Linked DNA regions of Mus musculus. The protein of the gene in region 5 purifies or fractionates together with the protein of the main gene of each other region. This does not show direct contact. Links are inferred from orthologs where the notes say so. Each region holds a gene or a part of one and is shown on either strand. Other genes may lie near its edges. The genes, in order: 2310011J03Rik, Pds5a, Mettl9, Cip2a, Slc30a4, Fut8 and Stx8.

Region 1 (4,445 bases), on a different chromosome or scaffold from region 5:
TGAACTGGGGTTGTAGACTGAGCCTGTGCACCACACACTGTGGGAGCCCAGGTAGCCAGCATGCTGCTCTGTGCCTCAGTTTCCCCATGTGGGCCGTGGGGAGGACTCAGAGTAGAGCAGCAGAGATGTCTGGGCTGTGGTACCAGCATGCAAGGGCCATCTTTCTCCCAGCCACCTCCTCCCATCCTGCCAGCCTTGGGGGCCCAGCAGCCACATTTGCCTTCTTCACCCCAGACAGTGGGGGACACAGGACACAGTGTGACATCCAGCCCAGGGTAGGCAAGAGCTGACGAGCCCTTAGATTCAGAGCAGGAGGGGTCTGCTAGCCGCCAGGCTGCCGATGGCTGCTAGCGCTCTGAGCTGGACACCAGTGGTCTACCGGAGACTAACCACTGGGTGCTTGACCAGGGCATCATGCCTACCAGTTACCTCACTGTGTGTGTGTGTGTGTCTGTCGCTGTCCCTGGCCAATGTCACCCCTTGCTCATACCTGGTCAGTGTGTCCTCTGCTGCCATACCGTCTCCCGCCCTGTTCTACTACAGTGTTACACTTCTGTACATACTGACCCCCGACCCCCCACGCAGACCCCCGAGTGGACACCCTGCCTGGCTTCTGATTCTTGTTCATATCTTTAATAAAGCGAGCCACTCCATCGATCTGTAGCTTCATCTTTATCACTGGCTCTGGGGGGGGGGGGTCGTTCCAAGACCTTCTTCTACAGCTCTGTTCAACCCCAGAAGGTGTTTCTGAGCTCCCCACTGACTCGACAGCGTGTCACATCCCCACATGCTGGAGCCGAGGTTGACTGAGGTTCAGCCAAGCTGTACCTGGCCATCAGCCACTGGTCATTTGTGGTGGAGGTGTCATGGTGGAGGTGGGGACCAGGAGTCCAAGCTGCACTGGTCAGGGCAAGTTGGACCCCGTGACCGCCAGGAATGTGGAGTGTCAGGAATGATGTAGCCACAAGCTAAGGCCACTTCTGACAAAACAGTTCCAGCCAGCTTGGGACCCAAGGAGGCAGGTGTGGTAGCTAGCGCCTGAGCTGCCAAGGGGTGGCAGGGGGCTTGGGTACCCAGTGATCTAGCCTGGCTTAAGGGAGAACTGTGTTCAGGCATCAAACATCTTTAATCTTCCAGAACTAAAGTCCAGCCACCCCAAGAGTGGTGGGTCTTCTGCAAGAAGGCAAACTAAACCCCAGATCCAGAAGGGGCAACATTCACCACACACAGGGACCTGGCCTTTGAGTTCCTCTTGGACCCCTGGGCTCCCCAGAATGGAAACTCCCTTGATGAGTCTCCCCGGCCCCAGGGAGAACTGAGAAGGCAGTGTAGCCCTAGAGGGCCTGAGCCAGGCTCTATGAAGCGTGCAGCTAGCCCATTCTCTCAACCAAGATGCCAGTGGCTGGCCTGCTGTGGATGCTGGGGATGAAGACCTTCACTGCCCAGGGTGACATGGGACAGAAGAGCACACCGGTCACTATGGGGCAGACTGGCTTTGAGCCCCGACCTGCAATCAAGTCCTTGATGCAATTTAGGCCAGTGTCCCCATAATGAGGAGGTGGCCATGTCCCTAAGTCCCATCATGAATTAGAGGCCATTAAGGATGGAAGAGGGAACAAAGCTGCTAGCTGGCAAGGTGGGCCACTGGGTCTCCCCGGGCCAGGGTTGGGACAGCAAATGTTGACCCAGAGCCTCTGGTTGCTAGGTGCCCAGGCCTGGACCAAGGACATCAGGTGTAACTTCGGCTCTAGGAGGTGGCTGAAGTCACCTGGCTGATATCCTGTTCCAGCCGCTGACCAGCTTGCCGAAGGCCATCGAACTTCTGTCTCAGAGCTTCCCCCGCCTGCCGCAGCCTCTCATTCATAGCCACGTAGGCCCGGCTCTGTTGGTAGATCTGCTCCTGCTGGATCTCAGAGTCCTCAGCCCTTGGGGATGGGTCTGGGGGGTCTGAAGAGAAGAAACAGTGTCACCATCCCCAGGCCTGACATCCACCAACCCAGAGGCAAGAGGATCAGTGGTTCAAGGTCATCCTTGGCTACATGGTGAGTTCGAGGCCAGCCTGGGCTATATAGGCCTATTAGGCACTAGAAAACAAGACTCAGTTTCAGGTTTTGGTGTCATGGAGAGGACAGGACACCTCCAGCCACCCTGGCCTGCCGTTCTACCCAGGACTGCCTGGATTCCTGGATCCTAGGCCAGGAGTCGCAGATATGGCCCCTGCAAGTACTCTGGCCCCCCATTAATTTGTAGGAGCAGCTGGCCACGCCCCTCTGAGACAAGGTCTTGAACTCACAGCAATCCTCTTGCCCTAGACCCGGGTTGGCAGCACTTTCAACTTTTTTTTGTTTTTGTTTTTCGAGACAAGGTTTCTCTGTGTAGCCCTGGCTGTCCTGGAACTCAGTCTGTAGACCAGGCTGGCCTCGAACTCAAAAATCCGCCTGCCTCTGCCTCCCAAGAGTTCGGAGCACTTTCAATTTTATTTCTGATGATCTTTCTTTGCAGGGGAAGAGAAGGGCAGGGACAAAAAAGATTCGTCCCTGCAGTCGGTTTGCTCCCCACTCGGGAGTCTCACGTTCTCCTACCTTCCGGGGCCAGGGCAGTGAAAACAGGATCTTGAGCGGGTGCCCCTCGCACGTCCTCCAGGATCTGCTCCACCGTGGGAGGCGCGGGGCGAGTGGGCAGTACCACGCGTTTCTTCGCCTTGGAGTTCATCTTGTAGGTGGAGCGCGCGCTAACTGGGGGTCCACTTTCGGCTCGGCCCGCCCACCTCGCGAACTCCTACGCACCCCTTACAGACCTGCGCCGAGGTCCCTACCCCGTCTCGCTTTCCCTCCTCCCGGAACCTCGGAGTTTGGCTCGATCTCCGCGCCAGTTTGCTCTTGGAACACCCCGCTGCCTATCTTCGTTCCAAGAACCTAGGCGGCCGCCACCGCTTCCGCTTCCTGCTTGAACGCCACTACGTTCCGGCACTTCCGGTCCACTCCAGCGCCACGCCTCGCGAAACCCCTCCCCCGTCTTAAAGAGCCCTAAGCCTAGATGCTCCTAGTTGCTATCCAGTAAGATCAGAAGGAACTCTGCCCTCCTTCACCGCGTGTGGTGGGAGGAAAGGGGTGAACGTGATTTCGAGAGTAATCAGTGTACAACCATTGCCAGGTACACAGTGGGCGCTCAATAAATGCTGGATGGAACCTAGCCACAGGCTTTGCTTCCTTGTGGTAGACCTTTAACTCAGTACTTTAATCTCAGTACTGTGAGGCAGAGGCAGGCAGACCTCTGTGAGTTCAAGATCATCTTGGTCAATATGGGGAATCCCAGAACAGCCAGGACTACACAGTGAGACCCTGTCTCAAAAGAGCAGTGGGAAAGCCGGGCAGTGGTGGCGCACGCCTTTAATCCCAGCACTCGGGAGGCAGAGGCAGGTAGATTTTTGAGGCCAGCCTGGTCTACAAAGTGAGTTCCAGGACAGCCAGGGCTAAACAGAGAAATCCTGTCTCGAAAAACCAAAAAAAAAAAAAAAAAAAAAAAAAAACCAGTGGGGGATGGGGGAGCGAGCTAGCTTCCTGTTCATGGCTGTATGGTAATTCAGCACTTGGCAGATCTGGGCTCAGAGCAGTCTTCCTCTGTGGGTCCTTATTCCTCCAGGGGCCCACCCTACCCTCAAGGACACCATAAACTCGACATCTTCTGTTTAACTTTTATTTGGCAACTATGAGGTTAGACATGGGGCTATGGATGGCTTGGAGACAGGGAAGGGGCAGATGATTGGTGGCTGTGGTCTGACCTCTTGCCCACTGTACCTGCTCCAAAATGAGTAAGGACACATCTCTTCCACTGGGAGCAGCTGAGGCTGAGCGGTGGGCTGTCACCTGACCCATGCAGCTGCTCTGCCCTGGCCTTCTGGGGCAGGCTTCTCTTCCAGCCTGAGAGCAGGACCTTGGGGTACCGGCCTTCTGTCCTGACAGCCAGGCATCTCTGGCTCTCCAGCCTCCAGGGATCTGTGCATGCATGGTTTTGGGCACTGGGGTATCTAGCCTGGGGCAGGTGGGCCTTCCTCAAGCCGAGGGGCCTCCCAAAGGCCCTGGCCAGCAGAGCCAGCACCATGGCCCAAGACTGGTAGCTGGGGGGCCACCAGAGGTGGCAAGCCTTGGAGGGGCTCTGGAGCTCTCCCAACACAAGGGACAGGGGACAGGCAGTGTAGTCGCTGCTCAGGCTGCTGCAGCAGGTGTAACAGGAGGGTGACAGCTGGCCTGTCCTTCGGTCACTGGCTGCTGTGGGTGGCTGTAGAGCCACCACCACTGCTGGCTGGAGATGAGGCAGAGTCCTGCCAGGATGGAGAGGGGACTGTGACTTTCTGCATAGGGACAACATGGAAACAGAAGGAGTGAGGCTGCAGCTGGTGGGTGCAGCCGGTGCCCACCTGCCCATTCCGGGCCGCTGCGCCTCCT
Region 2 (4,583 bases), on a different chromosome or scaffold from region 5:
TTAAACACACAACATTTACTGGGCACTGTGCTCAATCCTAAAATCAGGCCCTAGAAATCCATTTTATAAAGTTGCATAAGGCAGAAACATTGTCCTCGATGTTCCCTGCCTAGCCTTCCACCATGTCTGACTTTGAAGTGCACCTTTTAACACAATGGGTCTCAACCTTCCTATTGCTTCCTCATGTTGTGGTGACCTCAAACAAAATAATTGCATTGCTACTTCATAACTGTAATTTTGCTACTGTTATGAATTACAGTGTTAATACCTAATAGACAGGATATCAGATAGTTGGGGGGGGGTCTCGACTCACAGGTTGAGAACCACTGTTGTTGGCAGGGTGTGGTTATGCCACTAGTGTTTTGGGAAGTGGAGGCAGGAAAATGGTTAAGTTCAAGGGCAGGCAGCTGGGTTACTAGTCCTCTTTTTTTTTTTTTTTTTAAAGATTTATTTTACTTATATGAGCACACTGTAGCTGTCTTCAGACACACCAGAAAGGGCCATCAGATCCCATTACAGATGGTTGTGAGCCACCATGTGGTTGCTGGGAATTGAACTCAGGACCTCTGGAAGAGCAGTCAGTGCTCTTAACTGCTGAGCCATCTCTCCAGCCCACTAGTCCTCTCTTAAACAAGTCATCAAACCCATTCTTTGCCTCTCCCACTGTCCACACTGTACTTCAATAGTTTAAGATCTTTCACTAGACAACTGTTAGCCTCCTCACAGAACGTCACAGCCTACTCCCCACAAGCCAACTGTGACAACCAAAATGACTCTGAAATTGCCTACAACACCCCCTGGTGCATCAAAGTTGTCCAAAGTGACAATCACTGCTCGAAACTGATTCCATAACAAACACTGCCCTATGCAGTAGCAGAAAAGTTAAGTCCCAAAATGACAGCGCAAGATTGTTACACCAAGAAAACCGGTGCGCACACACAAACACAAACTCACAGACATATCAACAATCCCGTCCTTCAACTCTCTTGGGCATGTGTACTAAAATCATCATTTCTCCTTAAGCTCGAATTCTGAAAAATCTGTACACTGTATTAAGTTTAGCCCACTGTATAGATAGTTAAGCTCCCATTAGAAAATTACGAGAATCTAAGGGGGACAATATGGTTGTTTGTGCTCAAGTCAGTCTTTTCTTGGAGTAGATAATAATAGGAACTTTCGTGGGTAAAATCACTGTCTACACCTCAGGGTATCGAGCCCCTTAAACAACATCCACTAAATAAAATAACCACAAGGGAAACAACTAACCATGCATGCGTTCTTATGGACAGAAAATGATCACACTCTTTAAATTCCCCGTCCTTTCAGAACTTATCCAAAGATACCGCCAAGTTAGAACAGGACTTTTCCGGGGCGGTTAAGATATCTTCAAAAACTTAGTACTAAAAACTCCAAAGGCCAGGTTGAGAGTAGTCCAATGAAACCACACGAGTCACAAAAGCCATCCAGAGCGCAGATCGCCGACCCAGACCCTTACCTTCAGACGTTTGATCATTTCATCGGTGGTGATCTTGTCGGTGATCTCTTTTACTCCCGGAGGGTAAGCGATCTTCCCGTCCGCACTCACGACGCCACAGAGGGCAGTGGCAGGCTTCGGCTGCGTGAAGTCCATCCTGGGGAATAACTTTTCTCTCACAGTCCTCTACCGGCCTCTATCGGTCAGAAAATCAAAGTTCAGCGGGAAAAGGGGCGACTTTGTAACCTCTTTTTCATTTCAAAAATCTCTAATCTAGAAAGGGCCCTTTCTTCCCCCCGAGGCCGGGGACCCCGCCACTCGCTCCTTCCCTGGGTTTCGGACCCGGCTAGGCGTCCGCCACCCCCACCCGAGCCAGCCCCGGTGCCACGGGGTTCTCGGCTGCAGCAGCCCCGGCCGCGAGAGGCGCCGAGCAGCTCCCGGAGTTTCCTAGCCCTCTTTTCACAATGAAATGTATCCCCGAGCACCTAGGACGGAAGTTTGGTGGCCTCGGGGGGACATTGAGGACCCAACGGCCCCACTTGGCTCAGGAGAAGCGGCTGGGTCCCCGCCTGGCCGGTCACCTCCGGGAAAGGAGACTCGAGGCCTAGAGGGTTCAGCTTAGGCCGCAAAACTAGGTACCCAAGAGGACCCACGCGCGGCGCCGGCGCCCGGGAGCAGAACGCCATAGCCGTGCCGAGCCCCGGGCTCCCGGCGTCCCCGCCGCGCGGCCGCCCCTCCCCGGCCAGCCCGCCACCCCCGCCAGCCGCCCGAGCCCCTCGCCAGGAAGCGAAGGACCCGGCTCCGCACTTCACATTTTTGTTCCTTAACTTCAGCAACCGAGCCCGGCGGCATCTCAAGCCCCTCGGTCGCCCGGCGCTCCTCGGCACCGCCAAGGCCTGAGCCGCCGCTCCGGGCAACCCCGCCGGGCCTCCGCGCGCGCCCTCCCCTGCGGTCTCCCCTTCCGTCCCTCCCTCGCCGCCGAGGGCGCGAGCCCGGCCGCCGCTTTACCTCCTCCTCATGCGGGCGGACGGTGCAGCGAGCGCCGGGCCTCTGTCAGGTGGTTGCGCCGCCGCCGCCGCCCCTCGTCGGGCTGCACACAAAGCGGCTCCGTCCGTCCCGCCGCCGCCGCCGCCGCCGCCCGCCCGCCCCGGAGCGGCGCTGGGGCTGGCGGTGCCGAGGAGCAGCCGCCGCGGGGGGAGAAGCGGGCCGAGCGTGCGCCGGCCGGGGCGACACTGCCGCTCTCCGTCGGGCTGAGGAAGCGCAGCCTCGGCCGCGGCTCCTCCGAGAGCCCGCGCGCGGGTGCACGCCCGCGCGTCCCCCGCGCCCGCCCGGCCGCTCGCTCGCTCGCCGGCCGGCCGCCCGCACCTCGCGCCCACCCGCACCAGACGCCCTCTCGCCGCGGCGCGCTCCCGGCCCGCCCGTGCCCCGCGGAGCCTGAGCGTCGCCGCGCACAGCCGGAGCCCGTCACGCGAGCGGCGCGAGAGCCCGCGAGAGCACCGCGCGCCTCGCTCCCGCCCCTTCTTCCGCCGGCCGAGCCCCCGCCTCCCTCGAGCCCGACGCGGCCGCGCGCGTGGTGGACAGCGCCGCCACCCGTTTGGCGCCAAGACCTGCCCGCGCGGGCGCCTCCGGGGGGCCGGCAGCCGAGCCGGCGCGCGGAGGAGGAGCCCCGGTGGCGGGAAGCGGACCCCGGGAGGCGCGGCTTTGCGACACTCCCGGCCACCGCTGTCGCGGAGTCCGGGGCTCTTGAAGGCTTGGCTGGCGGGGATGTGACCGGACCGGTGGAGAAATGGTTAATTATCTGGAGAAACGGCTGCTTTCCCCTCCAAACAGAGCTCTGGAAGCCGAGGCAAAGTTTTACAACTCGGGCTGCTCATTCTCGCGTCTTCCGGAGAGTCGCCCTAGGTCGCAGCCTACGACCTTAGTTAGACTCCTACCATTAAGGTTTTCAAAGCTGCAAAATAGGAAGTTGGCATGCGATCTCAAGCTATGGTGCCGGGGCTTCTGGCCTCCCAGTCATTTTGGGTACAGGCTGAAAACACAGACTAGGGTTCCTGATAGTGAAGCCCAGAAGAAGAAAGAGGGAGGGTGTTTTTAGAGATTTACAAATTACCTATGTGAATCTGAGACCTCTTTTTTTTTTTTAAGTTGTGAATACACCAAAGCTCTACTTTTTCTCTCCTCCAAAGGAAAGGCTTGCCAAAGAAAACTTAGTGCAGCGGTGCTTGAGCAATTTAAGGTAAATATTGAAGCGAATGAACCTGAACAATACACACATAATTTCAGGAAACCACCTTTTAAAACAATAAGCAAGCCGGGCAGTGGTGGCACACGCCTTTAATCCCAGCACTTGGGAGGCAAAGGCAGGCGGATTTCTGAGTTCGAAGCCAGCCTGGTCTACAGAGTGAGTTCCCGGACAGCCAGGGACAGCCAGGGCTACACAGAGAACCGTCTCAAAAAAACAAAAACAATAAGCAGAAGGGGGTGATGGTGGTGCACGCCCTTAATCCTAGCATTTGGGAGATAGAGGCAAGCGGATCTCTTGAGTTCAAGGCACCCTGGTCAATCGAGCTAGCTCCAGGACGTCAGACAGCCAGGGCAACAAAGAACCCCTGTCTCAAAAAAAGTAAAAAATATTAATAATAATAATGAAAAGAGGAAGAAGCTAGGCCGTTATGGTTCACGCCTTTCAACGGGAGGCAGAGGCAGGCAAATCTTTGATTTCGAGGCTAGCCTGGTCTACAGAGTAAGTTCCAGGATGGCCAGGGAAACCCTATCTCAAAAAAACAGAAAGAAGAAGCTGGCAGCAATTGAATTTATACATTGTTCTTTAAAATGCCCACCTTTTAACTGGCCTATGGTTGCAGCTAAATCAAAAGATTTAGGCAAGAGGATTTTTTTGAACTCAAGATTTCCAGTAATATGAATATGCTAGTAATACGTGGCAGGGAGGAGCCAGGTCTCCTCTGATATGCCAGTGGTCCCAGAACTTGGAAGGCTGAGGTAAAAAGATTTGGGAGACCTAAAGAATAAAAACAGGAGGGGAAAAAATGTATTGGTTTTTTTTGTTTGTTTGTTTGATTGGTTTTGGCAGAGTCCCACCATATCCTGA
Region 3 (3,950 bases), on a different chromosome or scaffold from region 5:
CACACGTGGGGCTCAGAAGACAACCTGCGAAGTGAGTCCTCTCCTCCCACCATATGGTAACCGGCATCAAATTCGGGCAGCAGACTTTGTGGCAAGCAGCCTTCTTACTGAGCCAACTCACTGGCCCTGGTTTTGTTTTAATTCAGTAGGAAGATATGGGGACAGGTTAGAAACCTATAAGTTGTCATTATAACAAAGGACAAAAACTAACTTCTTTTTGGAGGGGTAATGTATTCTAATTATTACCATGTAGGTTTACCAAGATAGAAACTGAGGATGAAACCAAGGTAGACTATGCGGTCATTCAAACTTACTTCTACATAAGGTCCTTCAAATATAACATCCCAAACACTTATTTAACACTGAGGTGAGAAAGGTTGATGTTTCTATCCACAACTCAACTTCTAGAATCAGCTGTGCCTGATAGAGCAGAGTCTACGTTTACCTCTTCCTTCCATTTAAAGTCTCATTAAGTATTCACAGCAATCCGTCCTTCTACCACCAGCCTTGGTCTGTCCTTTCTCTAGACTAAAACTCTCCGTGTTTTCCAAATGTTCAATCTGCTCCTGCCCCACCAGAGCTGCACAGATGCTTGACTAAGGTTAGTCTAAGTGAGAGACACTCACAGAAGTCAGTGGGGAGATAAATCTCTGTCCAAGGCTTTCCAAATACCACAGGGGCAGGTCCCACCTCCACATGTGTAACCAGTCTGTAGAAAGAATTCTGGAATTTTGGTTTCTTTTAAAAACACAGAAATCTTATAAGAATATGTTTTCCTTTTAAGCCCAGGTGTGAGGATATGGGGCTCCTTCACAGCAACTGACTACCATTTGCCTTGTGCTCTAGCAGGGACATAGTTTTGCCAGCTGCAGATAGTTTGTACAATTGTGTGATGTTTGGCATTCTGGAAACTTCTCAGAGGGTATATAAATGCTAATACCTCAATAGGTGGGTATGGGTGGTGGTTGTTTGTGGTTTGTTAGTAGCTGTGCTCAATGAAGAAGCAAAGTAAAAAGCAAGAAATTAAATATTAAAGAGATATCTATCTCTCCCCCTCTATCCTTCTTCCTCTCCTACCTAGTGATAGAGGTAAAGAGGATGGGGGGTGGGGTGAGAACGCACAAAGTAGCAAAGACCAGCTACAAAGAAACAAGAAAAGAATTATTCAAGGACCCTCCCCCCATCCTTCTTTCTCTCCTACCTAGCTATAAGGGGTGAAACTGGGGGATGGAGGGAGATAAAGGGTAGGAAAAAGAAGAACCCAGAGTAGAAAAATTGGCTATAGAAGCCAATATACAAAGAGAGGTCTCTCACATTTTCTTAAGAAGTCTCGGAACACAGACTTCATACCTAATAAATACTCTTCATAAGTCTTTCAAGCACCAAGTGGTCTGTAACCTGAACTTGACCCTTTACATCCATCATTACTGACATCTGAGTGTGTGTGGGGCATGAAATCCAACTACTGTCAAGGGTGTAAAGAAATTGGTCAGTGGGGACATAAATAAAGTGGAGAAGATACAGTAAATTCTCAAAAAAAAAAAAAACCCCACACAGACTTAAGGGGCTGGAGAGACAGCTCAGCAGTTTGGAGCACTTAGCACTTTTACAGAGGACCTTGGTTTAACTCCAAGTACCCTCATGGTGGTCACAATCATCTGTAACTCCAGGGGATTCCCAACACCCTCTTCCAGTCTCTGTGGATGTCAGACACATACATGGTACACAGACATACATGCTGGCAAAACATTATACATATAAAATATATCTAAAAACAAAACAAACAAAAACCCTAGACTTAACATGTGATCTAGCTATTCCACTTTTAGGCATATACCCAAGAGAACATATTACTCATTTGGCATGGCTGTAGTGGTCTGAATGAGAATGGTCCCCAGCTGGTAAGACTATTCAGGAAGGACTCGGAGGTCTTGTTTAAGGAGGTTTCACTGGAGATAGGATTTGAGGCTTCTCTCTCTCCTTCATGGCTGTTGTCGCAATGTGTGTCTGAGCTACTGTGACAGTGTCATGCCTGCCGGTTGCCAAGTTCCTGTCAATTGGTCACAGGCTCACCCTATGAAACTGGGAACCAAATAAACTCTTTCTTGTATAAGTCATCTTGGTAGCACAGCAATGAAAAGTAACTAAGACAAATTGGTGGTGGTGCACGCCTTTAATCCCAGCACTCAGGAGACAGAGGTAGGCAGATCTCTGAGTTTGAGGCCAGCCTGGTCTACAGAACGAGTTCCAGTACAGCCAAGACTACCCCTTGGTATGTCTTGGCCCTCTTAGGAAGAAAAAGAAAACAAAAAGAAAAGGACCTAAGACAAATGTCAGAAGCAACCCCCAAACATCCCTAACACAGACTGTGTGGGGTGTGCAGTAAGCCATGAGTCCTCCTAAGACTCCTCCAAGACACAGTACACAGAGTAGTCAGATTCATGCCAATACAACAGTGATTACAGGCTAGAGGAAGGAAGAGTGCAGGATGATATTTCAGACTGTTCTTAGGGAAGATGGATAACACGAACGTGCCATGACTGCTGACCTAATTACAGACTTAAAAATGACTAAAGGGATATATTTTACATCACATATATGTTACCAAAATTTTTTAAAGCATATAAAACATCTGGACATGTCACTGATGAGGTCATGTCCTCACATCTGCCTACCTCAAGCTGTCTCTTACTTATGCTATCTTCTCTGTGATGCCAAGTCCTCTGCTTCAGAAAAATGCTGCCATGGAAAATTCCCTTTTTCCGGTTTCCCACTGATTTGTGTTTAATTCTTAACCATGGAAAACTGCTCCTGATTCTTATCACTAGGATACATGCAGAGGTAGAGTCCCTGGCCTTGCATTCAATTCCCAGTGCTACAAACAAACTAGACCAAAACCCAACACACATATACATCAAAACCCAAGAAATGCCCAACAGGCACGCCTGGCACCCTCTAGAACTGGTACCTGTATTTCTTCTTCTGGAGCTGCCAGATCATTGTTTCAGAAAGCTCAGTGGCGTAAATTTCTTCAAAATGAGGGCTCATGATTTTCGTGACTTCTCCATCTCCAGCACCTAAATCAAGAAGTCTATGGGTTTTCCAGTCCGGATTAATTCTAAGCAGTCTCTGAAACTGATCTGGTGAGAACACAAACATGGAGCCTCTTCCTAGCAACCTGGGGAAAGATGGACAGGAGGTGAGATCCACGACTCTAAAGAACGCCCGTGTACACAGAGAAAACAGCACCAAAGCTTTCTGACATTATGAAATTAGTATACAATTCAAAAATAGTTTATCTTTCATGGCCAAAAACAAATTCACAAAGAAAAGGTGGAGGGAATGGCAGAGACTCAAGGCTAACCATAGCGTGGGCAGAGGAACCAAACACACCTTTTAGGAAGATGGATTCAACAATGGTGATAGGAAAAAAATAATTTCGTATAAAAGAGTCTTAAGATGCAGAAAAATTGGATTTAAAAATGCTTTAAAAGAGGAAAAGAGCAATCGTTGTGAGATTAGCCACACTCAGGTTGGTTTATAGTTAGCTGAGACCTGTATTTTATTAAAGGTCCTAAAACATTTCAAGCTGATAATATTGACTGAAAAAAATAAAAATAATAAGCGGCCGGCAGAGGTTATGTGGGGCCTAAAGGAGCCCTCCCTTAGAAAAGCAGGTACAGCCCAAGCAAGCCATAAAGAAGTACACTCCCTACTCCCTTCCTGCTCCCAAATCCTGGTTGTTCTCAAATGAAGTAAAACTCAAACAGCACAAGTCCGAGGAGCTATTACACTGCAGTGAGGCTGAGTGCCTACAGCTGCCAGCAGCCCGCTTTTAAGATTTTCTCTGCAATCTGAAGCAGCTTCTGAAGCAATTCCTCCGCAGATCCTGGAAAAGAGACTGTACCATTCTATCACTTCCGGGAAATAATCAGAATGTAAAATAGGTT
Region 4 (4,582 bases), on a different chromosome or scaffold from region 5:
AATGAACAACTAATGACTGCTTTCACGTTAAATCTAGCAGCTAGGGGATTACACAGAAAGAGTAAAGTTAACAAAGAATGTTTTAAAATGTAGCAAGAATAAATTTTTTAATAATTTTTCCTCTTCAATCCAGTTATTTTAGTGAGGGAGATTATAAATAAACCTGTTATCTAAAGTCAAACAATTTGTTATTTTAGAATTAGATTAACGTATCTCAAATACATACTCTAAAAGGTCACATCTAAGCAGACTGCTTTAGTAACCCTCTAATTATTAGAGTCTAATACCTCCTTCTGTATCTTCCTTTTATTTTTCCACTTTCTTACCAAGCTTTGCTCTTGGAGTTTCAATTTATCTATTCCCTAGTAGAATGGGTTTTAAAATTAATTAGCTTGTAAGATGAAAAAATATGTCCAAAGTAAAAAAAAAATCACACAAACTGTTAACTTATCTTGGAATCAACTTGGTCATCAACTTGGTGATCTGAACATAGTTTCTCTCATCTAGTAATACTTAGCTCTCTAGAAGAGGAAGGCAGTTTCTGCTTTAAACATGACTGGGGCCAAACATGTGACTCAACAATAGTATAGCATCTAGTAATTAGTTAAGATAAGGTAAAAATTAAATTTTTACTGATGGGAACTAGCTCAATGAGGATGCCTAGCACTTAATCTGGCCATGGCACTGACCTAAGAGTGCTTTCCACCTGGGAACTCTTTTCATCCTCATAACCCTGTAAGAAAGGTGCTTCTGACTCAATTTGTGTTTTGAGTAAACTGGGGCATGCATACACTGACGATAAAGAAGCACGACTCAGATTTATACCCCAAGGGGTTGAAGCCACGCTTTTAATAACTAGACTCATGGTCAGTGATGTGAAATGCCATCACATCGAATATCAGACTAGACCAACATGAGCAAAATGACTCCAAGCACAGGTTCTGTGTGGGTTATAAAGTCACACTGCAGTCACACTGCAGTCACACTGTGTGGGGTTATAAAGTCACACTGCAGTCACACTGTGTGGGGTTATAAAGTCACACTGCAGCAGCAGTGCAGACGAATGACTAATCGTGTCTCTCATGATAAATATTTGTGTATCCTCGGAAACTACATCACCCTCAAAAACGGTAAATACTAAGAACTAAGGATGGGCCTGGTTGCGCGATGGCAAAATCAATGCACTGCTAGTACGTAATGCCAAGGTCTTTTTGAAAGGCGTTTTAGCAACATGAAGCATTACTGGATGTGGGCTGGATGGCTCAGCAGCTAGGTGCATGCACTATTCCGCAGACAATCTGAGTTGGAGTAGCAGTACCTCAAGGAGTTCACAGCTGCTATCAAGACCAGCTCCAGGGAACAGAGCCTTGTGCCTTCTGAGGGTCCTGCCCACACATGCGCATACATCACACACAGACAAACATTTAAAAGAATATTAAAATAACAAAAAGAGGAACATAAGCCCTTAAGACCTGATAGTTCTACTGGTAGGTTTATAAAAGAGGGTTGCGTTCAACCATAATAAAAATATATGACTGGAATGCACTTATTCTTAATTCCACACAGTTCTGAAAACAATCCAAATGTATTTTTGGATCCGTGGAACACTTACATAAATATCTACATAAATACTTACACATAAAAAAAGGAGTCCTGTTTATACATACAACCTGAATGAATTGCCCTGATTATCTTCGGTGAATGAAGCCACTCAATATTCAACAAAGAAAACAAAACAGACATAGAAAATAGGCACTTGTGATATCTATTCCAGTTGTCAACTAAGGCTACATCTGGAATGAACTAAATCCAGAAATGGAGGGCACATCTGCCCAGATCTTGAGGCTGGAAGACACAGGCTTCAGACATGGGGCGATGTGCTTTTGATCCAGATCTCGAGGCATAGTGGCCATGAAAAGCGTAGGCCCAGGCAAGGTAGTACATACCTTTAATCCCAGGGGAATGAGACAAGTCTCCTGAGTTCAAGGCCAGCTGGGATTGCAAGTTCCAAATCCAGGTGTGGTGATTCATACCTTTAATCTGGGCTCTACCTCCTACTGGAGGACTACATAAGGACAATGGAAGAGGGAATTCTCACTCTTCTTTGCCTGCTTACACTGACTTTCCAGTTGGAACCTACTTCTTCAGGATTCCCGCTTACACAGATGACCAGCGAAAACAACTAGTGTTGAGGGAGTGAGCAACTACTAGATTCCTGGACTTCCCAGTCACAGCTAGCTTCCCCACTTGTTGGGTTAGTAGGAGCGAAACTTTAAGTCCTTACAATAAATCCACTTAATATAAAGGGATACTCCATAAGTTCTGTGACTCTAGAGAACCCTGACTAATACAGCACCTTAAAAAAAGATCCGGAACACACACACACACACACACACACACACACAGTGCGCTCGCATACACCCCAAAGCCTCCTGGTTTGGGTCCGTACACACACACACACACACACACACACACACACACACACACACTGCGCTCGCATACACCCCAAAGCCTCCTGGTTTGGGTCCGTACACAATCCCCTCCTGGCACCCACTCGTTGCGCACACCCAGTCGCTGTCGCCAGTGCAAGGACAGCGAAGCAGCTGCAGGTCTGCCCAGGGCGAGACCTCCATCTTCCGGCCCCACAAGAAAACAGGAGGGGACCGAAGGAGGGGACACCCACTCGCACCCCGAACCTCCTTACCTCCAAGTGCCTCAGCAGCTGAGTGGCGTTCGCCTCCGACTTAACGGCCTTGTACTGACTGATGCTCAGGAGCAGGGACTTCAAGCAGGCGGTGGAATCCATGCCGACGAGCCGGCCTGTCAGCGACCACCGACACCAGCCACCCTCTGTCTTCAGCGGTCGCCGCGCATTTTTTGATTTTTTTTAAGCCCCACCCCTCTTGCGCCTGGCAGCTTCCTGTTCCGGTCGGACTCCGGAAGTCTGGGAGCAGCGGGTGGGACTGCAGTCGGTGATTGGCAGGGTGGGCCTGGGTTCCAGGCGCTGGGGTTGCGGGAAGGTGGCAGGGAGCCATCCCCTCCCACCCCCGCCGCAGTCCCCCTTTGGCGGAGAGGCCGCGAGGTTTCGGCTGGAGGTCCGCGAACACGCGGGAATCTCGCGAGACGAGCTCGTGCGGGCTCATTCTGTGGAGGGCTTCTGGGGCGAACGGGGGTCTCCGTGCCGCGCGGGCTCGGTCCCCGGGCCTTCCTCGGCCTGGGCGCGGCGGGCTCGGCTTTCCGTGCGTGCCTCAGCCTCTGCCCGAGACACGGCCGCTCCCCCCTAGTCTAGACACGGTGAGGAACTCGGAGCCGCCGAAGCTGGGGGTGGGGGCGTAGGTTTGGAGGCGGCGGGAGAGGGGCCTCAGGTTCTGCGGCCCTGGTCCCTGGTGGCCGCAGGCGACTCGCGCAGGCTAAGACCTGTGGCGGTCGGGGTTCCGTGATGAGGCAGCCGGAACTTTACGGTAGGATTTGTCAGAACCCCCCATAGAGAGAGAGCATCCCGGAGTCGCTCCCGGACGCGTTCTTGTCAGCTTTGATGTCTGTAGGCTGAGGGGCCTGTTCTTGTCTGGCGTGATTATTTTGCACATTTCTGTGGCGTCAAAAAAAAAAAAAAAAAAAAAAAAAAAGAAAGAAAGGCACCGTTGAGAATTTTATTATTATTATTATTTTAATCGGAGGTAATGATGTGCACGGATCTAATAACGAAGTGAGTCAGCAACTGGTTCAGGAGCTTAAGCTAGGTTGTGGGATCGAGTAAATGCCCATTTGACTAAGTTCTTCTGAAATTGTGGGAATTCAGGGAACGTTCCTTTTTGTTTTTTGTTTTTTTCTCGTTTGTATTGGTACCTTTTAAAGACGTCATTTATGTTCATATTAAAAGAAAATAAAAGTAAAGCTAACTGATGGCTGGAAAAAGATTGTGCCGTTGAGATAGTCACATGAGAGTTTGTAGCTAGTGCATTCATTCATGCATTCATTCATTCCATTTTAAACAAACATGTATAACGGGGCTAGGGATTGACTGTCACTCAGAACAAAGATGAGGACGTGGTGCCTGCGGAGAAGCAACCATCTAATAATAGTCCAAATAGGAAAGTACTGTTGGAATTCACTACATAAACGAGGAATGCGTCATCACTAAAACGAAGAGCAGCCAGTTTGCTGACAAGTATTTTTGCACCTTTCTCTTTGTGTCTCTGCATTTTACTGCTTTAGGCTTTTCATGAAGTGAAACCTAAGAGTAGACTATTTTACACGATAGTTTATTCAGTAAATTCTTATTGAGCTTCAGAAATAGTAGCCTTTATTACAAAGCCAAAGTGCTAGAAAGAAAAAAAAAAATGATCTCTTCCATTGACATAACAGGCATATCCCCAAAATGATGCTTTGATCACTGATGCGTGTGTGATGCTGATCCAGTTAGATCATACTAAACTGAAAGCTGAATGAATGATCTCTTCCTGTGACCTAGTGACATCTTACTTGCCACAGTGTCATAACTACACAGCAGCAGCATATGAAAGTATAGCACATACTGTTATGGATGGCACAAATAAACTACTAATGATTCATTTGTTTACTG
Region 5 (3,950 bases):
ACCCATGTGGTCAAAGAAGAGAAATGATTCCTGTATATTGTTCTCTGACTTCCATGTGTACACAGTAGCATGCATGTGCCCCACACACAAATAAAATAAATACAAAACTCCTTTGAAATGTAGCTAACATAAAAGTATTAAATATTAAATAACATACTTGGTTCTACTTAAATTCTTTAGTGTTAAACTCTGAGACAGGTGGACAAACTAACAAGTTTATAATGCTCCATTTCATTATACTTCTAAGTAAAACTGACTGACTATATTTTTAAGTATGAACATATTCCATGGTCTGTATACATGCATGTGCAATAATCTTTTGGCTCATAGTGTGTGAAAAATATTGTGCTTACATTACATTAACTGCAACTCCAACAGCTGCAGTGATGAGCATGACATCGCCGTTTATTTCATAGTTCATATGGATGGTTCTCTGCACAGCCTCATATAAGAGGAATCCCATTAGTACATACACCAGCATTACACTGATCATGGCCGACAAAACCTCTACAAAGGAAGACAGAAAATGCAGGCATCTTAAGCACAACGGTTACACTTCATACGAACTAGACATGGTTCAGTTTCCTACTTACATTTTCTTTACAGAGGAAAGAGCACTGTTATTTTTGTCATACAACATTTTTTTTCTTAAAGTATTTAGCAGCTTGAATGATTTAGATCCTTAACTAATTCATATCCATCCTCTCTCTATTCATATCTCCATTCACAAGGTAAAACTGATACAGAAAAAGAAAATTTTAATGGCATAAAACATACAAGATTAAGATTAAACATAAAGTTTGCTGTACTATAAAATATCAAAGTTATTGTACTTGGCATGAAAATGCCAAAGTAGAGCTTCAAAGATTATGTGAAAATATTAGATCCTTTGTTATTCTCTGACTTAGTGTCTTTTTCTTTCTCTTTATAGCATTTACTATAATTTGTGATTGTATTTGTGTCTATGTGCACACAAGAGTCACCATGTCTCCACAGCCTTATTCATTTATTCATTCATTCATTCATTCATTCATTCATTCATTCATTCATTCATTCATTCGTAACTAATGGGTACTCATTCAGTCAATGAATAACTATTTGTCTTAACAACGTAGACCACTCACAACAGAAGCATATATGTGTTTGTGGGTATTGCATAAGTTACTGGTCTAATGTAAGTATTTGCTTTGCTAATGCTATGATGCCAATAATAAGTATATTCCACTAAAGTTACATGGCAATTGTCTTTCCATTCTCAGAAAGAACTAAGCAAACATCTAAGGCATGTTCCAGAGATCTATAAAATTATAATGAACACAGAGATATCCTCTCTTCCACTTTCTTTTCCACTCTTTCCTGCCTTCTTCCAATAGAAGATAGGAAGAAAACAACAGTAGGGTGTGTTGGATTTACCTAGGCCTTCCGAATTAGTCCAACTGCACTCAAGCTGATGTTATAGGGATTTTCATCAGTCTATAGTCCAGAGTCTGTCTTTGGGTTTCCTCTCTTTTATTACAAATTGCTTCTCCTACTCCTGCTTTTTCATCACTCCCTATACCATACTACACTGCCAACTATGGTCATGCTGACTGATGGTATCCAGTGTTAGCCACTTCAGTCATGCCTTCCTTATGCCTCAACTTAAACTCCCATTTCTAGCAAGATTTAGAGCTTAATTTTTTCCAGTAAAAGGTCATGTGATATGATTAAATTTGCAATAAGATGTGAATAATAAAAAGCACAGCTTTTGATATAGGTAGGAGAAAGCTGTTAAAATGAATCACAACCAGGTAGAAAGTTTATTAGTATTATTTTTGATGCTTATATGAAGGAGATGCTTTCTGTTTCTCTAGTATCAGTGGATAAAGCAACAAACTACACAGAATTAGTTGTAGCCAAATCTTGCCCAAGACACATCTAGCTGGTTCTGACCATGATCTCTGCTCAGGAAACATTATGAGCAATACCTGTGCTATCATCTTGCCATTAACACAGTCTGAGGATTTAAATGATCAAATCATAAACACTGCTTTCTATCCTAACCACAAACAGTGCTGCTTAGTATAGTCTTTACATCAGTATAGTCCCTGAAGATCTGGAAGAAACTTCACATAAAAAAGCCAATTAAGATAATCTATACAGAGAAAGGCAGAAAGGGCGAAGCAGGATGGGAGCTGCTGTCTTCAGAATGACATACTCTCTTAGAAGAGAATCTTTTTCCTCCTAAAGATTTGTGGTCCATCCTTTCGTCTTAGCTTCAAACTCTGTCTCTGCAACTCCTTCCATAAATATTTTATTCCCTATTCTAGGGAGGAATGAAATATCCACGAGTTGGTCTTCCTTCTTGATTTTCTTGTGTTTGGAAGTTGTATTTTGGGTATTCTAGGTTTCTAATATCCACTTATCAGTGAGTGCATATCAAGTGACTTTTTTTGTGATTGGGTTACCTCAGTCAGGATGATATCCTCCAGATACAACCATTTGCCCAAGAATTTCATAAATTCATTGTTTTTAATAGCTGAATAGTACTCCATTGTGTAAATGTACCACATTTTCTGTATCCATTCCTCTATTGAGGGACATCTGGGTTCTTTCCAGCTTCTGGCTATTATAAATAAGGCTGCTATGAACATAGTGGAGCATGTGTCCTTATTACAATTTGGAACATCTTCTGGGTATATGCCCAGGAGAGGTATTGCTGGATCTACAGGAAAGGATGGACCATTCAGAGACTGCCCCACCTGGGGGTCCATCTTCTGGGTATATGCCCAGGAGAGGTATTGCTGGATCTACTGGAAAGGATGGACCATCCAGAGACTGCCCCACCCGGGGGTCCATCCCATAATCAGCCACCAAACTCAGACACTATTGCATACGCCAGCAAGATTTTACTGAAAGGATTCTGATATAGCTATCTCCTGTGAGGCTTTGCCAGTGCCTGGCAAATACAGAAGTGGATGCTCACCGTCATCTATAGGATAGAACACAGGGCCCCCAATGGAGGAGCTAGAGAAAGTACCCAAGAGCTAAAGGGATCTGCAACCCTATAGGTGGAAAAACAATATGAACTAATTCCCCACAGAGCTCGTGTCTCTAGCTGCATATGTAGAAGATGGCCTACTCAGCCATCATTGGGAAGAGAGGCCCCTTGGTCTTGCAAACTTTATATGCCCCAGAACAGGGGAATGCCAAGGCCAAGAAGTGGGAGTGAGTGGGTAGGGGAGCAGGGCGGGGGGAGGGTATAGGGGACTTTTGGGATAGCATTTGAAATGTAGATGAAGAAAATATCTAATAAAAAAGATTTGTGGGATCTCTTTCATTGTGGTTTCATTAAATCCTGTATTATTAGCTCTCAGAGTAAAGTGACATGCCCATAATCAAATAAGTCCAGACACTTAAATACAACACATAAGGCTTTAGTTCTTTCTTTCTCTCTCCCCACATTAACCTGCTGCTGTTGTAGTGTAGTGTAAATAAAGAAAACTCAGAATGATTTCACACCATCCACAGCTACACATGAAGCAACTGAAGAGACTGTGGTGACAGCCCTAAGAGAAGAGGGCTATGAGCTCTCCTGCTCACCTGGCCTATAGCATTTATTTTCTTTTAAGAAGTACAAATTTTGTTGTACCAAAGAATGTAGACTATTAACAAATAATGATAAAAATTAGTCAAACATTTTCAAGACTGGATATTCCAAAGAATTTATACTGGCCTTTTGTATGCATACATACATGCTACTAAGAAGCCTTGAGTTCATTTTAATTTTTTTCAGAGAATGAGTGAAGTGGATTAATAAAGAATGAAGATCCTTATTAAAGTGCTGGCCACTGTCCTGAATGCTTTCCAAATAGTCATTCCCTTGCTGCCCTTAATAACTTTATGTGGGAGACACTATTGTAGCATCCTTTACAGACAGAAAATGGAAGCATGACGATGTTACAGAACTT
Region 6 (4,750 bases), on a different chromosome or scaffold from region 5:
AGTGGGAGGCTGCAGACTATAGAGAAAACGCCCTCACAAGGTGTGCTCTCTGTGAGTGATGTGTACAACCGGTTAACACTTAACTGGCTTGTGGAAGATTTGAGTTACAGAGTCCCTTTGGAGAGAATAGAAGACATGTAGTAATATATATATATATTTTCCTTTATAGTGTTGGAGGTTGAATCTAGGATTTGTAGTATGCTAGACAAACACTCCCAAAACTGAGCCTTCCTTCCCAATTTTTTTTGGAATCAATTAGTCACTACTATTATTTGAGACAGGGTCTTTCTAGCTCACTAGATAGTCCAGGCTAGACTATAACTTAAAACAATCCTTTGGCCTCAGCTTTCCCTCCTCAGTGCTAGAATCAGGTATGCGTCGCAGCAATCGATCGATTTAAGACTGTAGTTTTCAAAGAGCTCAGTTAGTATTACTTCTTGTTTGAATTTTCCAGAAATTCATTACTGGTCTAGAACTGAATGTGAAAAGATTTGTTCCCACATATCAGTTGCTTAGCTGATACTTCTAATTCTGGGATGGTAACTATATCCTGAGCATGGCCTGAAGGATCTTTGAGAGCAGCGTACTGTGACACTGAGCAGAGACCTGAACTGCTGAAGAACTACTTTCTCACTGTATTTCAGAGTCATCAGTTTGGCGCTTTCTTATATACTATGCTGTTCTATAAAGATGTACTAAGTTCTTCACAAATATTTCTAGTGGCTTTTTCTTAAATAGAAAGTAGGTGGGATGCTTTGATTCCTATAGTTTTAATATTTCCTAGGAGATAATTAAAGCCAGATTAAAGGAGCAGAGAGTTCGAGGCACACATAAAACTTTGAATGTAGAGATCTTCAAGTACTGCAAATGGTAGCGTGTGTTAATTAACTAGAAATGGTTCCTCTTTTTCCCTTGAATACATTCAAGCCATACATCCTTGTTAAAGTGCTTTTTAAATGCTGTGCTGAAGCCTCAAAGTAAACATTTTACCTCTGACTCCTAAAAATGTTCCAGGCTGTGGGTGTAGCCCAGGAGAAAACACACCCTTAGCATGCACATACTCACACAAAAGGAAAAATAATTCAGGGTTTTGACTGTTGAAATTTTAGCCCTTAATCCATCTAAGTACAGTATAAGCCTAAATTTTGCTTATTTGCAACAGAGAACTGAGAGTCTCACGGAAGTTATCTACGCATTTAATAAATGACTACAGATTTGTTGAATGATGACACCCAAGCTTTTTGGCTAGATCATAATTCTGACTTCACCAGAGTTTTGTGTGACCTTCAATAAGCCACGGTGTTTTCTCAGAGAGCTTTATTTCGAAGAGACATTAACCCAGTCACAGGTCCGGAAAAGCTTCTCAGGGTGCGGAGCTCCTGAAGGCACAGGCATTTTTTTTTTTTTCCTTTTTAAAAAGCACTGTCCTTTGCATTTTAGAAACACAGTTCCTGATATAGAATAAACATTGGGAATTTATGAGAGTTATTAGGTAGGTTGCATTCTTGGCAGGCTACGACCTCTTTAATGTCTTTTCTGTGTTTTTTTGATTACTAGCATATAAAAGGGTGGCCCTGTTTACTCAGAGATACGTTTCCAAAGTATTTACTAGTATTTATCTGTGCTGGGAGGAATAATTGTCTTGAGGGCAGCTTTTCTACTCAGTCACCCGGCTGAGTCCTCAGGCTTGGGATCTGGTCCCCAGGCTACAGGGAAGAGTTCGGCACGGGAAGCTCATCTTCCGGCCCTCTGATTGGCCAGTTCGCACTCCACTCACTGGTTTTCCCGCTCTGATTGGCCCCGGCAGCACCCCTTCGGCCCGCGACTACTTTGTGTGCCCTGGCTGCGCGGCTGGGTCCTCCCGCCCAGCTCGCCCTCCCGGACGGTCTGTCGGAGGTAGCCCTTCGGCACTCGGCTCAGCATCGCGGGCGTCAGGATCCCCGAGTGCGAGCGGGTAGGAAGCATCCTAGGGAAAAGCCTCTCCTCTCCTGTACTCAATAAACTTCCGCCTCCGAAGGGCTGAGGCAGCAGCGGCTGCGAACGGCCGGGCTTCGAACTCGGGCTCTGCGGGGTTCTTTCTCTTCAGATGAAGACAGAGCCCGCAGGGTAGCCGGACCGCCCGGAGCCGAGGTGGCACTGTGTGCTGGTGCCTCAGCGGATGAGCAGCAGAGAGTACCCCGAAACTAGTACAGAGCCCTATTGAGCCCCAGCGGGGTGCGCCTCTGGGTGGTGGGCCAGGCCGGCCAGGGCGTGGGGAGCGCTGCTCCCCTCAGCCTCCGACCCTCAGGCGGCCTTCGCCTGTAGAGACCAAAGCCGGAGCCCGCGCGCGGCCGCTGTCCGGCTGGAACTCGGGTCCCGCCGTGGCCCGGTGGATGCTGCAGCTCCGCTGTCCACCCGCACAGAGAGGAAGGGGACGGGGCGGAGCCTGTGCACATGCCAGGGTCGCTGGAGGAGGCCGCGGCCGGCGCATGCGCGCCCTCCCCCAGCAGGCTGGGACGCCGAGGGGCGCGCGCCCCTCTCCGCGCGCGCACGCTCGCTCGCTCGCTCCCTCGCTCGCGCCGGCCGGCGGCTTCCCCGCCTGCGCTCCCGGTCGGAGCCACTCCGGCGCGTGCGCGCGTGGTCTCGGGCCGACCCGAGTGGCCGGGTTCTCTGGGCTCCAGGCCCCCGCCGCCCCCTCCCCGGCTCCCAGCCAACCCGTCCCTCCCTTTCCTCACGGAATGGGGCCGGCGCTGCTCGGGGTCGCGCGTCCTGGACCCGGCTCGCGCTCGGTCTCGCGCTGTCAGCCGCTGCCTGGCTCGCGCCGCCTTGCGCTTTCCCTCAGTCAGTGGCGCCGAAGGCTCCGTTAAGCGGCGGCCGCGGTTCCTGTTTCCGTTTCTTCCTCTCCCTTCAGTCGGGAGTAGCATCCTCCACCCCAGCACCCCTCCCACTCTCCCGCCGCGGCCAGCTGCAGCTGGAGGCAGCGGCGGCGGCGACGGGGGACGGCGCCGACCGCCTCGCTCCCGCCTCGGGTAAGGGGGCGTTAGGGAGCCGGGCCCCGCGCGCCGCGGACTCCAGGACGGGGCGGGCGCGGGCTCTGTGGAGCCTGGGCTCGGGGCGCTCCTTCGTCCTCCCGCCGATACCGGGCCTGTTGCTGCAACTGCTGCAGCCGTTGCTCAGCCAGCGGCCCCGGGAAAAGTGGGGAGGGAGCCTCCGGGACACCCCGGCGTAGCCTTGGCCCCTTGGGTGAGGGGCGCCGCGGCGTCGGGCATCCCAGGACCTATGGGATGGGGGCGGGGTGGGAGGTGTCCCTCAGCGAATCTCTGCATCTGCCGCTCCTTGCCCCCGCAGCCGGGTCCCCACGGTCAGACCGTGGGAAGGTGGGTTCCTTTGCTTTGCTTTGCTGTGTGGGCTTCTGGGGCTGGAAATCAGAGTGAACCTGCACAAAGATGCGTTCTGGCTAGTGGCTGAGGCAGGGTAGTTAATGGCCTGGGTGCCTCGGTATCCCCTCCCTTTGATCTGCGAATGACAAGCTGGAGGCTGTGGAGTGTCTCAACTTATTTGGGAAGGTTAAATGAGTCATATCAGCTCAGCGGAGGTCTGTCCTGCTGGAGTTGGGGTGGTTTGTCGGTAGCAGCACCTGTTCTCTGGATGTGGGCTTTGCAATCCTCAGAGACGTAATTCTTAAGTTAAATGGCACTGTCATGGTTAGGGTTTCGCACCCTGGTGAGCTTTTAGCGCTTTGCCTTAAACGTGGAGGCCTTGGAGAAAAGCAAAGAAAGTAGTGTTTTTCCTTGTGTCTAATTCTGCACGTTACTTTTAAGAAAACGCAAGAAGGTGAGCCCAGGAAAACCATATCCTCCCGTACCTCCCGTAGATCACTCCGAACTTAAAGGTTTCAGGGAACAAATGCAATGGAAGTTTTTATCAATTTAAGAGTTAAATTTATCACAAGTCACTGACTTAACTTTGCCTTTGCTCCGTAGAAACTCTTAAGAAGGTTTTATTTTAGTTGTCTTGTTCTTCCTGGGGTTAAGTGCTTATTTATTTTCTTGGTTAAAGTTCTGTGTAATATGCATACTTCTTTTAAAGGGTATATCATATATAAAGTATTTTAGGGGAGAAATTATATACTGAAGCAAAGAAGTAAGATGCTTCTTTTCTTTAAGGCAACATAGGAGTCTCTGACAATAGTACGCTCCTGTACATTGCTGTCCTTCTGATAAGAAGTCTTAATTATAAATACGACAGTATTTTAACACACATATATATAGCATTTGAAATTGCAGGCCGAGTGAAAATGTAGGGAACAAGAGACGACTAGGCTGTAAGCATATGAGGGTGGCTTGGAGGTTTGGGTTTTCAGTTTGCTGTTATAAATCGAGAATTCTGTTTGAGTTGAAGAGCTGAACAGCTGGAATGAAACTTGCATAGATTGCAGGAACGTGCAGAAATGTCTTTGATCAGATAGTGAGTTAATATGAAGGGTGTCTTGTGATCTACTAGGAGAGTGATTCAAAATAACTTAAATATGACACACTACAGATTGTATTTTAAGGATTTTTTTAAAATCTAAAAGTCATTTGAGGTTGTTTTCTCTGTAAGTCAGCTGTATTTGATATATATAGAACGGAGACCAAGACAATCATTCTGATTCTATAATGTGGTCTTTAAAAAAATAAAATCTAAATAATTTTTTTCCAAAGGAGTAACAGTGACCTCAAAAGTGATGAATTTTGAAATTTTCTAGTGTGTCACAAAATGTGTGTGTGTG
Region 7 (3,950 bases), on a different chromosome or scaffold from region 5:
CTCAAGCAGCTTGAGGCCAAAACCAAGAGCTTTACTTTTGGACTCTAGCTTTCAGTAGAGATAAAGAATAGTCAAGCACAGCAGAATAGCCAGGCTTGTGAGCCACAGTCCTGGAGCAATAGGTACCTTGAATAATTTTCTGCTGCTGTTGTCGGATCTCATCAAAACCCAAACCTCTGGTCTCCTCCGGCTCCTCACAGAGCCAAGGGTTGGGAGTTCCTCGCTTTGCTTCTTCGCTCATCAGGCTGGACCTGAGAACAATAGCAAGCACATTACATATCTCACAAAACACAACCGGCTGAAAATCACTGTGACGAGCACGGAGCTGGCCAGCCTGGCACGCTTTGCAAAGCCATCTCCACAATTTATCGCACTCTTAGTTTATTCTAGGGACCATGCCCAGGGCTGTAAGAGATCTGAGGCTAGGCTGTGGTCCCCAGACAATTACACAGCATTCTACTAACCCTCCAAAGATGGTGGTAAATTAGGTTGTTAAGTCTCAAACCACAAGGCCATCGGGAAGTTGCCTGTTTATCAGAACAAATTTTGTTTCACAGGCTTTGTGACACAGAAGGCACAGAAATAATATTTTTTCATACAAATATATACAAATAAAAATACAAATATTTTCATGCAAATATAATACTAATAATACAGATTACAGCATAGAAAAGTAATAAAATCTCCCATTAAAGGGTGCTTGGTTGCTCACAGAAACACATTCAGAGTTCCAATTCAACTGTGTGACTACAGTCAAAACAATCACACTGAGTGTGACTGTCTACTGTGATCATTACCCCCCTGAAGCAATGCACATTGGCTCTTGTACAACACATCTTGGTCTTCCATCTAAGGACAGAGCGCGTAGTTCCTGCCGCTGCCTCCCTGTCCAAAGGATGTAAGAATCCCGTTGCCCTGACTGCTCCAGTGCAGAGTTGAACGGGATTCACACCATTGCTCTTGCTGAGCCTGAGAGAGGGGTGATGATGATGTAGGAGTGGAGGAACAGTAGCAGTCACCATGGATTAAGCAACTGCTATGTGCAGACGCTCTCTGGGTGATTTAGTGTACACTCACTCATTTCTCCATTGCTTATCATTTTTCAAGCCCTGATGGCATCTCTTGTGTTGTCTGGAAGTAACTGCTACCCTACTGTTTGGCCTTCCATATCGTTAAGCCTTCTGACCACTGGATAGGAAGTGGACATAGAACCCACCTCCCCTCTATTGCACCCTGCTCCCCAGTGTAGAGCAAATAGCCACGAGCATGCCACTTACTGGGAGTATATAGACAGTAGCATCTACCTCTGGAAGTTTTAGCATGGATTAACTAGAGTAATTTATGTATTCATAAAATGATTTTGTCAATACTTATTCAGTAGGCACTGTTTTAATCAAACAAACTATGTACAAGCTGATCAAAATTTTGCCCTGACAATATACAGCTTCTCCTTGTGGGTGTTGTCCTCATGTACTTGTGTGTGTATATGTTTGTGTGTGAAAAGAGATGATAATAATGTATGCAAACTACTGAATACAGTGTTTGGGAAATAATATCTTTTTCAATAGATTAACTGTTTTCATTATACCAATTACTGCATTGTCTACTAGGAGGTATTAAAATTATTTTAAACAATATATTCCAACATTCTATTAATTTCACTTTTAACTAAAAAGAGACTATATCCTTCAAGAAAACCTGGGCTAAATGCAAAGACTGTTTTGATTCTTTGGACTAAGATTTTACGCACAGGTCTGGTCTCATATTCAAATGTGCCAATTAACATGTCAAACACCAGTATGACTTTCTTCCAGTCTATCAAAAAGAGAGATGTGTTCTTCAAGGTTTTACTTGACATGATTGGCCCCAAGAAGCCAAGATGTCGAGGTTTCACACTTACTCCATACATAATCACTTAGCTTCACCTAGCTTTGAAGACAAGGAAGAAAGAAATGAAAAGGGAAGTGAAGCAGGCAATTTGCAATCCAAACATATCCATTAGCACCGGAGTCATCTTGCAAGTGCCAGCATGAAACACACCGTAGCTGTATGTGGCTCACTGCAAAAGCCTGGGTCAGAAACTATAAAAATCGCCCGAGACTCAGGAGTGCATTGGTGGCCAGCTCTGAGCAGTCATTTCAGTGAGTGTATCAAAACTGAGTGGTACTGCTCCAAGGTTAGTATCAAGCCCTTGTCTATCTCTCTCTGTCTCTCTCTCTCTCTCTCTGTCTCTCTCTCTCTCTCTCTCTCTCTCTCTCTCTCTCTCTCACACACACACACACACACACACTAATGTACACACACTATACAGAGAAACCCTGTCTCAAAAAAAAGAAAAAAAACACAAAATGAATGTACACACACTTGTGCACACAGACAAAATTAAGGTATTAATATGAAAGGACAAAAACAATTCAGCAAATGTGAGGTGATTTTAAGCAACCTCAATAAATGGCAAGTTAGGACTCCAGCTGTGTTGACGTGTGCAGTTTGTGTGTGGTATGTGTATACTTTAATCACCTATTAGGGAATAAAAGTAAAAATGTGGGCACAAGCTCATATCAATAGTAAACATGATACAGAGAATAGACTTCCCAGCATGACCTAATTCCCAGAGCTAAGCCACGCCTACTTCCTGCTCCTCTGACTTGGTCTTCCTCGATTACTGATGGCCTGGACCTACCAGCAATGCACCTGTAGCATTCCTATGCGTCTATGCATCTGAATGCACTTCATCAGCTTAGGGTGATACCTACTATTAGTCACTACTGCTCTACTGACACTGGCCTTAGTAGAGTCACATCATATTCTGAAGTAAGGATAAAGAATGGTACATGAATAAGTAAAATAAGCCAAGTGGTAAAAAAAAATTTTTTTTTGAAAAAAAACAAACAAACAAAAAATAGGCATGTCCTCCCTCCCTTTCCCTACAAGAAAATCACCAAGCTGAAGACTTTCCAATGTATCTCTGCCCTTGGCATTTTCCCACAGGTGCCCTGTGATGCCTGTCTCATTTAAGAATCCTCAAGTAGTTCGCAAAGGCAAGGTCAAATTCACTCCTTTGCCCCATAAGCTTTTCTCCTCCCCATCTCGAGTCTGCTTAGTGTGCCATCCAGGGCCTTGTGTTACTACTGTTGTTGCTGCTGCTGCTGCTGCTGCTGCTGCAATTATCCTTCTACCTCACAGCAGTGGCTGAGGTGTTCTTCAGAGATGGCTCACTGTCCTCATGCACAGCCAACATGTTCCCCTGTTAGTACAGCCTAGCTTTAGACCCTCCTCACCTCTCCTACAGACCCATTCTGATGATAGAATGACCTAAAACTGAAGTCTCACTATTATTATCTCCATGGTTCACAACTTCCGTGACTCCCTGGAACTATAGGTTACGTGTGAGCTTTAAAAGATGGTCCATGGTCTCAGCAGCAGCATCTCCCAATGCCCCAGTACCACACCCTTCATCTCCCTGAGTCGTACATCCTGCTCACTACCACAGAGTCAAAGGCACAAACTTTCACACTCTCATGTTTTTGCATGAGTCTGGAGTATCCCCACCCCCACCCCTTTGTCCATCTGGCAAAATTCTATTCATCCCCTAAGGCTCAACTCAAAGGTCACTTCTGCTGCTGAGTCCTTCCTGATCCCCACTCCATCCCCCTTTCCTCAAATCAATCACTCGCTGGCACTCCCATGGCACTCTGTTCACGACCTCGAACGTGGCATTTATCAAGCAGGATTGTAGCTAGTTATTTACTCATCTGTCTCCCTTCCTAAGTTATGAGCTCTGTGAGGAAAGAGGCCACATCACAGTCATGTTTATATCCCCAGCACCCAGAAGTGGGAGCCTCTGAGTAGGCTGGAGAAGCAACATTCGGGAAACGCTTACAAAAATGGGACTGGGAACCACTGAGGGCTTTGACTGGAGGGAGCCAGCGTGAGAAGCGTACTTAACA

The links.
Region 1: the proteins of Slc30a4 (region 5) and 2310011J03Rik purify together in Homo sapiens (affinity purification with mass spectrometry; 3 studies listed by BioGRID and IntAct, counting the BioPlex papers as one, with this or other methods). This does not show direct contact. The link is inferred for Mus musculus from reciprocal best matches to the Homo sapiens genes SLC30A4 and C19orf25.
Region 2: the proteins of Slc30a4 (region 5) and Pds5a purify together in Homo sapiens (affinity purification with mass spectrometry; 3 studies listed by BioGRID and IntAct, counting the BioPlex papers as one, with this or other methods). This does not show direct contact. The link is inferred for Mus musculus from reciprocal best matches to the Homo sapiens genes SLC30A4 and PDS5A.
Region 3: the proteins of Slc30a4 (region 5) and Mettl9 purify together in Homo sapiens (co-immunoprecipitation; 3 studies listed by BioGRID and IntAct, with this or other methods). This does not show direct contact. The link is inferred for Mus musculus from reciprocal best matches to the Homo sapiens genes SLC30A4 and METTL9.
Region 4: the proteins of Slc30a4 (region 5) and Cip2a purify together in Homo sapiens (affinity purification with mass spectrometry; 3 studies listed by BioGRID and IntAct, counting the BioPlex papers as one, with this or other methods). This does not show direct contact. The link is inferred for Mus musculus from reciprocal best matches to the Homo sapiens genes SLC30A4 and CIP2A.
Region 6: the proteins of Slc30a4 (region 5) and Fut8 purify together in Homo sapiens (co-immunoprecipitation; 3 studies listed by BioGRID and IntAct, with this or other methods). This does not show direct contact. The link is inferred for Mus musculus from reciprocal best matches to the Homo sapiens genes SLC30A4 and FUT8.
Region 7: the proteins of Slc30a4 (region 5) and Stx8 purify together in Homo sapiens (co-immunoprecipitation; 3 studies listed by BioGRID and IntAct, with this or other methods). This does not show direct contact. The link is inferred for Mus musculus from reciprocal best matches to the Homo sapiens genes SLC30A4 and STX8.

The regions. Positions count from the first base shown.
Region 1 is NC_000076.6:80,317,601-80,322,045, forward strand, and holds 2310011J03Rik (UPF0449 protein C19orf25 homolog), read right to left. Parts: upstream 2,949-4,445; 5' UTR 2,713-2,948; coding exon 2,583-2,712; intron 1,948-2,582; coding exon 1,748-1,947; 3' UTR 655-1,747; downstream 1-654. Other genes in the region: Pcsk4 (proprotein convertase subtilisin/kexin type 4), read right to left, coding at 4,206-4,351.
Region 2 is NC_000071.6:65,695,268-65,699,850, forward strand, and holds the start of Pds5a (sister chromatid cohesion protein PDS5 homolog A), read right to left. Parts: upstream 2,970-4,583; 5' UTR 2,483-2,969; intron 1,671-2,482; 5' UTR 1,631-1,670; coding exon 1,496-1,630; intron 1-1,495. UniProt on the Homo sapiens protein: Probable regulator of sister chromatid cohesion in mitosis which may stabilize cohesin complex association with chromatin. May couple sister chromatid cohesion during mitosis to DNA replication.
Region 3 is NC_000073.6:121,051,315-121,055,264, reverse strand, and holds part of Mettl9 (methyltransferase-like protein 9 precursor), read right to left. Parts: intron 3,179-3,950; coding exon 2,969-3,178; intron 1-2,968. UniProt on the Homo sapiens protein: Protein-histidine N-methyltransferase that specifically catalyzes 1-methylhistidine (pros-methylhistidine) methylation of target proteins.
Region 4 is NC_000082.6:48,992,502-48,997,083, reverse strand, and holds the start of Cip2a (protein CIP2A), read right to left. Parts: upstream 2,897-4,582; 5' UTR 2,807-2,896; coding exon 2,705-2,806; intron 1-2,704.
Region 5 is NC_000068.7:122,689,046-122,692,995, forward strand, and holds part of Slc30a4 (zinc transporter 4), read right to left. Parts: intron 508-3,950; coding exon 354-507; intron 1-353. UniProt on the Homo sapiens protein: Probable proton-coupled zinc ion antiporter mediating zinc import from cytoplasm potentially into the endocytic compartment. Controls zinc deposition in milk.
Region 6 is NC_000078.6:77,236,246-77,240,995, forward strand, and holds the start of Fut8 (alpha-(1,6)-fucosyltransferase), read left to right. Parts: upstream 1-1,858; 5' UTR 1,859-1,954; exon of another isoform or gene 1,955-3,008; intron 3,009-4,750. UniProt on the Homo sapiens protein: Catalyzes the addition of fucose in alpha 1-6 linkage to the first GlcNAc residue, next to the peptide chains in N-glycans.
Region 7 is NC_000077.6:68,007,616-68,011,565, reverse strand, and holds part of Stx8 (syntaxin-8), read right to left. Parts: intron 252-3,950; coding exon 127-251; intron 1-126. UniProt on the Homo sapiens protein: Vesicle trafficking protein that functions in the early secretory pathway, possibly by mediating retrograde transport from cis-Golgi membranes to the ER.